Linked DNA regions of Ovis aries. The main gene of each other region encodes a partner of the protein of the gene in region 2 in a complex. Links are inferred from orthologs where the notes say so. Each region holds a gene or a part of one and is shown on either strand. Other genes may lie near its edges.

Evidence for each region. The genes of interacting proteins can lie anywhere in the genome.
Region 1: the proteins of KIF13B (region 2) and ADAP1 are in contact, whole or in part, in a crystal structure (PDB 3MDB), measured with the Homo sapiens proteins. The link is inferred for Ovis aries from reciprocal best matches to the Homo sapiens genes KIF13B and ADAP1. Residues at the interface, in NP_056069.2 of Homo sapiens: Val451, Asn452, Leu453, Asn454, Ala455, Asp456, Pro457, Leu463, Arg512, Phe514, Asn516, Gly517, Arg531, Leu533, Asn536, Asn537, Phe539; in NP_006860.2 of Homo sapiens: Trp137, Asn143, Gly144, Gln145, Phe146, Leu147, Pro186, Ala187, Lys188, Ile189, Gly190, His191, Pro192, His193, Tyr211, Glu213.

The regions. Positions count from the first base shown.
Region 1 is NC_056077.1:42,153,863-42,159,086, reverse strand, and holds part of ADAP1 (arf-GAP with dual PH domain-containing protein 1), read right to left. Parts: 5' UTR 4,845-5,224; coding exon 4,718-4,844; intron 4,157-4,717; coding exon 4,026-4,156; intron 1-4,025. UniProt on the Homo sapiens protein: GTPase-activating protein for the ADP ribosylation factor family. Binds phosphatidylinositol 3,4,5-trisphosphate (PtdInsP3) and inositol 1,3,4,5-tetrakisphosphate (InsP4). Regulates the incorporation of CD63 and CD9 into multivesicular bodies.
Region 2 is NC_056055.1:103,582,994-103,588,217, forward strand, and holds part of KIF13B (kinesin-like protein KIF13B), read right to left. Parts: intron 1,908-5,224; coding exon 1,058-1,907; intron 1-1,057. UniProt on the Homo sapiens protein: Involved in reorganization of the cortical cytoskeleton. Regulates axon formation by promoting the formation of extra axons. May be functionally important for the intracellular trafficking of MAGUKs and associated protein complexes.

The sequences.
Region 1 (5,224 bases), on a different chromosome or scaffold from region 2:
TCCCATCAGGCCGCCCGCAGGCGCTCCACACCTCGGCTGTTACAGCTCACGCCGCAGGGACACGCGAGCACAGAGACCCTTCTGATTAAAAATGTTCTAGTGGGATTGTACCCCCCAGGCTCCTCTGTGCATGGAAGTCTCCAGGCCACAGTCCTGGAGTGGGCAGCCGTTCCCTTCTGCAGGGGACCTTCCCGACCCAGGAATGAAGCGCTGTGGGCGTGCTCTTTGCCGCCCGAGCCGCCTGGGGGGCCCTCCTTCTGGGGGGGCTGCTGGCTGTGGGTCTCGCGTTCTCTGAGGAAGCTCCCCGCTGCCCCCCGCGGGGGCTGCACCAGTTCACGTTGCTGCAGAAGGCATTCTTTTCTCCACGTCTGTTGTTCGTAGAGTCTTTTTCTTTGGCCACATGGCACGTGGGATCTCAGTAGTTCCCCCACCGGGGATGGAACCCACGGCCCCTGCCCTAGAGGCGTGGGGTCTTAACCGCCGGGCGGCCACGAGAGCCCGTTACCCACAGACTCTCAACGAAGGCCACGCTTCGCACCGTGAGGCGGCACCTCGGTGCAGTCTGGATCAATGTTTCTCTATGGCGACGCTGAGCGTCCTTCACACACCTGCTGACTGACAACCGTGTGTCTTCTCCAGAGAAGCGTCTGCTCAGGTCCTCCGCCCGTTTTTAATTGGATCGTCTGTTACTTTTTGATACTGAGTTGTGTGAGTTCTCTGTACATTTTGTGCAATGACCCTTAACACAAGTGTCGTCTACAAACACTCTGCCATCCAGAAGGTGGCCTTTTCATCCTGCTGATAGTTTCCTTTTTGTGCAAAACCGCTTTCATTTGCTGCAGCCGCATCTGTTTATTTTTGCTTCTGTAGCCCTGCCTGAGGAGGCAGACCCAGAACAATACGGCCACGGGCTTGTGCTCGCTCCCACGGGCTGTATGGTCTGGGGTCACTCACTCTTGTACACGGTGTGACACGCTGTGCGGGCCGTCCAGCTCTCCCAGCACCTTTCACAGAGGAGACTCTCCTTTCCCCGCTGCGCGTTTCTGCCTCTGGACTACTCACTTTCTAAACACTTATTTTACGGAGGTCTGGTTGACTTACAGCGCTGCAGACTTCTGATGTAGCGGTAAGGTGCAGAGGCACCCGCGTCTGCGCTCTCCCGTTGCTGAACAGAGCGCCCGAGCTGCACGGCGGGACCTTGTTTATCCATCCTGCGGTTCTAGTTTGCACGTGCTGACCCCGGACCCCCAGCCCTTCCCCACTCCCTCTGGAGCCGCAGCCTGTCCTCCATGCCCGGGAGTTCCCTGCGGTTTCGTAGACAGCTTCAGCCATGTCGTGTTTTAGATCCCGCATGGAAGTGGCATCATGTGGTATTTGTCTTTATCTTACTTTGCTGGGTAGGATAACCTCTCGGGTCATCGATATAGCTGTAAACAGCGTGATTTTATTCTCTTTTATGGCCACGTAATATTCCAGCATACACATGTCCCACTGTGTTCACTTTAAAATGGATTTTATATGAATTGCCCCCCAATGATTTAAAAAATTATAGATAGCTCCTTAAAAATATAAACCATACCTTTTCATTTTAAAAATATCATTTCAAAATGAAAGTTAAAATACAACCCACAGAATGAGAAGACTTACTTGCAAGTACTAAATCTGAAAGGAATTTTGTGTCCAGAATATATAAAGCGCTCTTAGTAATAAATCTCCTAACTTAGTAGTAAAAAGACAACCCATTTTTAAAGTGGGCAAAGGACCTGAATGAACATTGCTCCAAAGAAGAGACACAAATGGCCAAGCAGCGCATGGACCAGCGCTCAGCATCACTCTTCCCCAGGGAGGCGGGGCCGACACCACAAGGAGACGCCCCGCACGCCCCGAGGAGGGCTGAGGCCGGACGAGACGAGACGCGGAGGGGCTGCTGTCCTGGCGAGCTCCCAGCGGGCCAGGCCGCCGTGGTGGGCAGAGCCCGCTGACCCTCAGTCGTCAGGCGGTCACCCCGAGGCCTGGCAGCGCCGCGCCCTCCCAGAGAGCGGAGGGCACAGCACTGCCCTGAACCCCGCTGCTCAGAAGGCCTGGGAAAACGGGGCAAGCCAGGTGTGCGGCTGGTGAGGGGCGGACAAGCTGTGGTCCCCACGCGGCCGCGTGACCTCGCCGTGACAAGAAGTGCCAAGACCCCAACAGCAGGGGTGATCTAGAGATCGGTGCTCAGCGAGAGGAGGGAGGGGGTCTGGGACCGCACGGGTGAGTCCACCGGCACGAGGCACCCAGACAGACAGACCCACCGCGGGGAGGCAGGGCCCCTCTCTCGGCAGGGCCGGGGCGGGGGCCGCGAGGGGCCCCAGTGGGTGCGGGCTCATTTGAGGATATGAAAACCTTCTCAAATTAGATCATGGCGGCGGTCACACAGCCCTGAGAATTCATGAGAACCACCAAACCGTAGACTCTGGAAGGGTGAGGGGTGCGGTGTGTGAGCAACACAGATCAGGCTGCTCTGAGTAAAAATAGTCGAGGGCGAAGCAAGCCCGCCTCGGTGTGCTGCAGACCCTGGAACCACAGACGGCAAGGCTGGTAGACTTGATCGCTGCAAAGCCTGCAAGTTTCCACCGTGCAAACCACCACGAGCAAAGTCAGGACAACCTCCGAGAAACGTCTTCAGCTACTGTCTCTGAGGGCCGCGAACCCGCCTCTGTGAAACCCCCACAAAACGGAAGCAACCCACGCTGGTGACAGCGGGCAGCCCAGCCCAGGGCCTGGAGGTCACACCTGGTTCTACAACGGCCCCCAAGGCGGGGATGGGCAGGGAGGGGCCTGAGTGAGGCTGCCAGGCAGAGGCCTGCGGGCGTGGCCAGGAGAGGAAGCCTGGCAGAATCCTTGAAGTTACAGTCAGAGCCTTCCGACTTCCCCTCCAGGAATGGAGGCCGCCTTGCTGCCCCGGCAGGACGATGCGTCCGTGGGGCCATCCGTTGGCCCAGGGGCTGTCTGGGAAGGACCCCCCCCCCGCACCCCGTGAGCACAGCAAGCCTCAGCAGGGCCCCCGCACTCCCGGAGCTGTGCACGCCAACACGACCGGGGTCCAGCCGCACGGTGGGTGTCACCGGCCTCAGAAAGGGGAAGCACCCGTGCGGGGCTCAGGCCTGGGGCGGGCTGGAGCGGAGGCCCGGGCTCCATCTGAGGTGATGGGAGTGTTCCAAAGCTGATGATGGGGACGACCGCACGCTCGGTGAGCGTGCCAAAAACCGCTGAAGCGCCCCTAAAAGAGCGAGTCACACAGCGCGCGCCGTATCTCAGTAAAGCTGCTCTAGAGCACGTGCCACAGAGAGACAAAGTTCAGCGAGAAACGCCAAACAGACCAGGGCGCCCTGTGCCCAGCTCTCCGCACCCTGGGCCTCCCCGGAGCCGGCCTGGCTCATGACCTCCGGCCCAGGACTCACCAGCGCCTTGCAGGCTCAGCGCCCCCGGCCCCTCGAGGTCTCGAGGGAGCACGGAGCAGAGAGCAGAAGAGGCTGGAGCCCCTCACCCCAGACCCCGCTCGCTCCTCACCCCCAGCCCAGCCCAGCCCCCCCGGGACCTCCCTGTCCCCCACTCCTCACGAGGTGCGCGTGCTGTGGGCTTGTGTCCAGGTGGCCTCGCCCTCCCATCTGGCCCTAGCGTGGGGGTGCTTCCAGCCACATGGTGTGTGGCCGCGTGCTCGGGGCGGCCTCGCTAGGGTACGTGTGGACTCTGAGTTGGCACGGAGGCCGGGGTGGGCCCGGGACTCTGTGGGCGGACAGCAGGCCAAGGCCTGGCTCCTGTTACCTTCTGCGACTCTGTGTGAGTCACCCACGACGCCCTGACCACAAGGGGCCCGTGTGGGTTCCCGGGGTACCGGGCAGGCAGGGGCCTGCGCGGGCTGGGCTACAGGCTGGGTCTGAGGCTGCCGTGGCAGCGGGCACGCACCCCCCTGGCTGGGTCTGAGGCCTGAGGCCGCATGGCAGCAGGCAGGCACCCCCCCACCGGCCCCCCCGGCCCGGCCATACCTCCACTTGCACGTCCTCCCAGGTGTCCAGGCGCACGGACTTGACCTTGCTGACGTGGGGGATGTTCCGGTGAATCCCAGAGCAGCTCAGACAGATGAACACCCCCAGGGTGTACGAGGCCCAGTCAGGATCTGCAAGACAAGGCCAGCCGTCAGGGGGGTCTCCCCTGAGACGGGGGTACTGGACCCCGGCCCACAGGCCTGCACGCCCACCCCCCTTTCTGGGCTTCACTTCCTTGCTGGAGCCATGCGAGGGGGACAGGACACCAGGTTCACGGGGTCTGAGGGCCCCGAGCAGGGGTCCCGGCCACCCCCACAAAGGACCAGCCCCCCGTTGTCCCAGGAACCCCCCCCCCCAATGCTAGCTTCCCGCTGAGGGCCTCAGAGGAGAGACTGGAAGCCGGGAGCCAGGGCTCCGTCCACTCTCAGAGCAGGCGGGACACGGAACAGACAGGTTCAGGAGGAAGACTGCCATGTCTCCACGAGGACCCTCAACCCGGCCTCTGCAGACTCTCCGCTGGGGGCTGGGGCACAGCCAAACCCCGACCCCTGATAGGGGCCTCTGGCCACTGACAGGCAGCGGCTGCGGGAAGGGGCTCCAGCCAGGGCAGCGGGTTGTCGGGGGGGGGGGTACCCAGCCCAGGGACAGGGCCTGGCTCTCTGAGACCACCGGGAGCCCCGCCCCGGCCTCACCCCTGCACGTCGGCGGGTCCCAAGCAGAGCTGGCGCGGGGGTGGCCTGGACCCAAGGCCTCAGCCAGCTCAGAAGAGCTGTAAGCAGGCCCATCCTCCCCACACCGCTTCCTGTCCACTGCCCACATCCCCTGACTGCACCCCTGCCTGCGGGGCCCACAGACACCACGTCAATTCTCTGGGTGGAACCCCAGGGGATTCTCCAGCCAGAGGGTGGCGGCCCGGCCACAGCCCCTGTGCCGCCAGGCCCCACTCAGCTGTGTCCCCCAGGCCTCCATGACCACCCGCTGGCCCCGGCGGGCGCTGGGACATGCCCCACCCCAAGGCCCCCACCGCGACCCGTGGACAGGACCAGGCTTCCGAGGTCCTGGGCCCCCGGGCGCGTGGGGACCCCAGCGCCAACACAGCAGGCTTGGGGAGGGAGAACGCCAGGCCCCCAGCTCCGAGCCTCCCGGGGAGCGGTGGGAGGGAACGCTGCGCGTCAGGGACCCCCGACGCCCTCCAGAGC
Region 2 (5,224 bases):
CGAACTGCTGAACTGTACCCTTTAAACTTCTGGATTTTTTGTTATGTGAACTGCATCACAATAAAACTATTTCCAAAAAACAAAAAAAAACCAACCTGCAGTTCATTTGCTATATACAATGTAGCTAGACCTAGGGGGCATTATGCTAAGTGAAATTAGTCAGATAGAGGAAGACAAATACTGCGTGTTATCTCTTAAGTGTGGAACTGAAAAAATAAAACAAAGGACTATAACAAAACAGAAGCAGACTCGCAGGTGCAGAGAACAAACTGATGGTTACCAGCTGGAAAGAGGGAAGCGAGAGGCCAAGACAGACGTCGGGGATTAACAGGCACAAGCTACTGTGTATAAAGTAGGCTACAAGCATCCATCATATGGCACCTGGAATACAGCCAGTGTTTTATAATACCTTTAAATGGAGTATAATCTATAAAAATTTTGTATCACCAGTTTGTACACTGGAAACTAATACTGTAAATCAACTGTATCTCAGTTTTTAAAAAACAACAGGAAAGTAATTCTTTAAGCCCTGCCCTCAGTTTTTCTGCAAATGATGATGTCTTGGCTTGGAGGTGAGCCGTTCTATACAGGAGACACCTCTCCTTCCATCCTCCTGCTGGGGGCCCAGGAGCCTGGGGATGTCTGGGGAACACCTGAGGCGTCTGAGCCTCCACGCGGGCATCAGCCTTCGCAACCTGAGCTAGCGCAGCACACAGAGCTGCTATGGCACTTCAGACGCAGCTGTTTCTGGGACTAAAACCTAAACCCCAGGATTTAAATTCATTATCGAATTAATATTTAGTAGCTTTCAATGAATGTCTTAAGTTTGTGACAAATCTCTGCAAGTTATAAAAAGAGAGAGAATCTGACTCTTAAAACACTTAGGAGAGCCTTATCTAGCGAAAACTCCTGATTTTGAAAAGTGTTAACTGCGGGGCTCAGAGAGGTCAATGATGTGCCCAAGGGCATACAGCAGGTGCTAGGCAGCGCCCACACTTTTCAGCTAGACTGCAGTGGGCATGGGGGCAGGCACCTGTCCCAAACTAGCATCACTCACCTGAAGGTAAGTCCAGCTCCACTCCAACCCAGGTGCCCTCCTGAAAGTCGGTGGGCCCCACGTATCTCACGACGCCCGTCTTGTTGGTGCCCACCGTCACGTATTCTCCTTCCTTGAGCCACTCTGGGACCTCACTGGCTTCTTCCGAATCTGAGGAGACTTCCAGCTTTCCCAGGGCCTGAACCCCAGCGCCACCATCCCCCAGGTCCCCCGAGGCCGGTGGGTCCTCCGCTGTCCCTAAGGGGCCGCCGGGGTCCCCGCCAAGCATGCGCGTGAACGACTTCAGCTCCGAGGTCCGCACCTTCTGGATCCTGAACGGAGAGGCGGGAGCAGGTGGCTGGAACCGGGGCTCTGAGGGCGGCGGTGGCCTGGAGACGTTGGGCTCTGGGCCGGGGACTGGTCTCCCCTGGGGCTGGGTGTCCTCTGGCTTCTGGGAGGCGGCAGGGTAGCTCCTGCTCGCCTGGTTGGGTGGTGGTGGCGGGCCTGCTGCCTGGTTCTGCTTCTCTGCAGACGCCCCGGCTGGAGCCAGGGCTGCACCGCTGCCTGGTGTCTTTCCCTCCACCGAGGCAGCCGGGGGCTCGAGGGCGGCCAGGCCGGGGCCCGGAGGGGTCGAGGCCATGGCATCCAGACCCGGGCCACAGGCGTCCGACAGGGTGGCGGTGGAGACACTGTGTGAGAAGTAGCCGCTGGATGCTTCGCTCAGGGGACTGGGGGGCCCATCCCCACCCTCGGGGGCCGGGGAGGTGGGTGTCACTCTCGGGGGCCCATCACAGGTCTTGGGCACAGGGGTGGCTGGCGGGGCCACAGGCATGCTGGGGGCCACGTGCAGCCCCCCATTCTCCCGCTGAGCCTGGAAAGGGGAGAGTTCAAAGTTAGGCATTCCTCCCGAAAGCCTCAAGGCCAATCCCGCTGTTGGAGACAGACAGCTCTGATGGTGGAACTCGAGTGGCCTTGCAGCAGGGCAGAAGGTTCCCACATCAGCTCTCCGTGCGACCTCTGAGCACGGATAACAGACGCCAACAGGCTGCAAGCCACTGCTGCCCCTCCCTGCCCTGACCCGGGCTGAGCAAGGCAGCCCCGAGTGCCCCTCATTGCCACCCCCTTCCATAAAGCACAGCTCCTATAGCTGCCTATGATAGTATGGTTTCTAGTTAAGAATTACACATTTGGTCTGAAATGTCTTGTTTTTTTGGTAGAGAACTCCTAAAACACCTGGGGTTTCCCAAATGCTATGAAGGTTTCCTGATACTCATAACAAGCCCCTTACGACCACATCTAAGTTTATGTTAAGGGGGGTGACTTTTGGAAAACTCCCAAGGGAGGGGCTGGTTGCCAAGGGGACCAATCACATGACTAGAAGGGTGTACATTTCCATCCCATCCCTGACCTCTGGGAAGGGGCTGGAGGCTGACTCACTCACCAGTGGCCAACGCTTTAATCAACCATGCCTATGTAATGACCTCCACAAAACCCCCATAAGAACAGGGTTTGGAGAGCTTCTGGGCAGGAGAACACGTGGCGATGGGGGCAGAGCCCAGTGCCAAGAGAGCACGGCAGCGCCTTGCCCTCCCCTGCAGGTGTCTCCCACCTGGCTGCTCCTATGTTAGTTACATCCCTGTCTAATAAGCTGATAGTCTAGTAAGTAAAATACTTCTCTTGGGTCCGCTCCAGCAAATTCACTGAACCTGAGGGAGGGATCAGGGGATCCTCTGGTCTGGAGCCCGTGGGACCTGGTTCTGAAGTGGGGGCAGTCTTGTGGGGCAGAGCCCTCAAGCTGCGGGGATCGGATGCTGTTACCAGGTAGACAGGGTCAGGGCGGAGTTAACTGTGGGACACCCCTGCCTGGTGGTGGGAACGATGACGCGGGGCTGCAGCTGGGCAGTGTGGTACAAGACGGGCAGGAGAGCCTTCACATAAAACACGGCACATGTGAACACCCAACTCCCTCTTACACCTCCTGCACTCAGGCCCGGAGCTCCGCTCTCTTGGGAACGGACCCCCCAACCAGCACCGACTTCCTGGGGACGCTGAGAGGATAGCTGGAGGCCAGCAGAGCACGCTGCTCCTGCAGAACTGAAACGGTGGCCTCCGCAAGGGATCCAGACGTGCCAGAGCACAGCTCGGCAGGAAGCAACAACCCCGAGGCCTGCGGGGCCAGGAGGCAGGGCAAGAGGAGGGACAGAGGCTGCCTGCAAGCTGCACCCTTCCTCTGAGACGCTGCCTTTCGAGACGGTGCTCAAGGCTGGTCCCACGGCCCGCGTCAGGGTCACCGATCCTGGAGACTCATGGGCCGAGGAGCAGCCAGCCCAGCGAGCAGGGCTGAGTGAGGCCAGAGCTGCGCTGGGCTTCCCGCCTCTCAGCCCTGGGTCTGACTCACTTCAGCAGAGCTCCACGGGCCCTGCCGCGCTCTCGGGTGTTCCTGCCGTGGTAACTGCAGCCACCGGAGAAGGCGGCAGATTATCTTTCTGTTCCTGATGCACCATGACAGGGAATGGGAGACGGAGTGGGAAGCGGGCTGTGGGGCGAGAAGGGTGCTGCTCAGAAAAAGAAATATGTTCTCAATATTTACGGAAAGATTATTTATCTTACAGGAATGGCCATTTTCCATTTGAAATACAGGATTTATTTGAACTGGGAAACAGCTGAGATCTATAAGTCTCTTACAGTTACTTGGCTTAACTCAGCAGTTTGATAAATCATGCATTTTCACGTGAATTGTCATTTATATTCCTGTCTCTGGAGGCCCTCCTTCCCCCACAAGGCACACTCTCAGGGTACGAAATTAACGGCACCTCTTGAGATTAACAACCCATTTTTGTGATGGATCTCTGGGCTGCAAAATTTACTAAATCCAGTAGATCAATAACTGTCACCAGCATAAATACTCTAAAAGACGAGGCAATCCTTCAATCATTTTTCTTTTGCAACTTGTACATGTTTTATTTATCCTTTTCCATTCTATTTTTAGTCTCACTGACCAGGCAGGGAAGAATACACAGCAAAATTTAGGAGACTCTGAAGTCTGAACAGTAACCATGGTTCTGACATAGTCCGCAGTTCCCTGCTCTCTGGGGATAAAGCCGTCCCCCAGTTGCAGGATCTGCTGAGGGAAAGACTTAGTCCTGAGGAGTGGACGGCCCAGGGACAGTGCCTCAGAGCCCCATCAGCTTCTGCCCCATCAGCTTTCACTGTGTCCTCTGATGTGGGCCAGGAAGGACTTACTTTACGACAAGGCCCAGAGAGGCTATTCACCCACAGCCTCCAGTAAGGGAAAAGCCGGGGATCAGAGGTCAGATCCATAGCGACAGGAAAGAGGAGACGGTGGGGGCGGGGGGCTGGAAGGTGAGCTCTGATTCCCCGGTTCTTGGTTCTTTCCCGCTGAGCCAAGCGCAGCTCTGATCCTTCCGCTTTGGCACTGTGGGTTCCCACTCAATTGGAGTTGCTATGTGAGTGGGAATCTCCCTACCTCTCTAGGTCACAGTTTAGCACAGACATTCCTAAGGCTGCCGGAAAGCCTGGATCTGGGCAAACCCTCAGGGAAGCACCCTTGTGTAAGGGTCTGCCTTTGCCGCACTGGCCTGGGAGCCCCAGTTCTGCCTTGAGAAATCATTAACCCGACTCATGGGGGCGGGGGCAGCTCTACCTTTGGTTAAATTCGTGAACACCTAAGATTGAAATGGGCCGTGCAGAAAGGAGTGAACTCTTGGACATCGGAATTATCTTTCAAATTATTTGGCCTCTTTTGCTCCTGTTTTCAGAGAAGGCAATGGCAACCCACTCCAGTCCTCTTGCCTGGAAAATCCCATGGACAGAGGAGCCTGGTAGGCTTTGGTCCATGGGGTCACTAAGAGTTGGACACGACTGAACGACTTAACTTTCACTTTTCACTTTCATGAATTGGAGAAGGAAATGGCAACCCACTCTAGTGTTCTTCCCTGGAGAATCCCAGGGACAGGGGAGCCTGGTAGGCTGCCGTCTATGGGGTCGCACAGAGTTGGACACGACTGAAGTGATTTAGCAGCAGCAGCAGCAGCTCCTGTTTTAATAAATAAAAAACTTCCTATGGAAGACACAGCATCTCCTCAGAGGATGAACAGCACAGTGGGAGAAAATAGATTTGCTATTCATAAGATGAGAAGTGCTGTTCATCTGTGGGAGATCATAAGA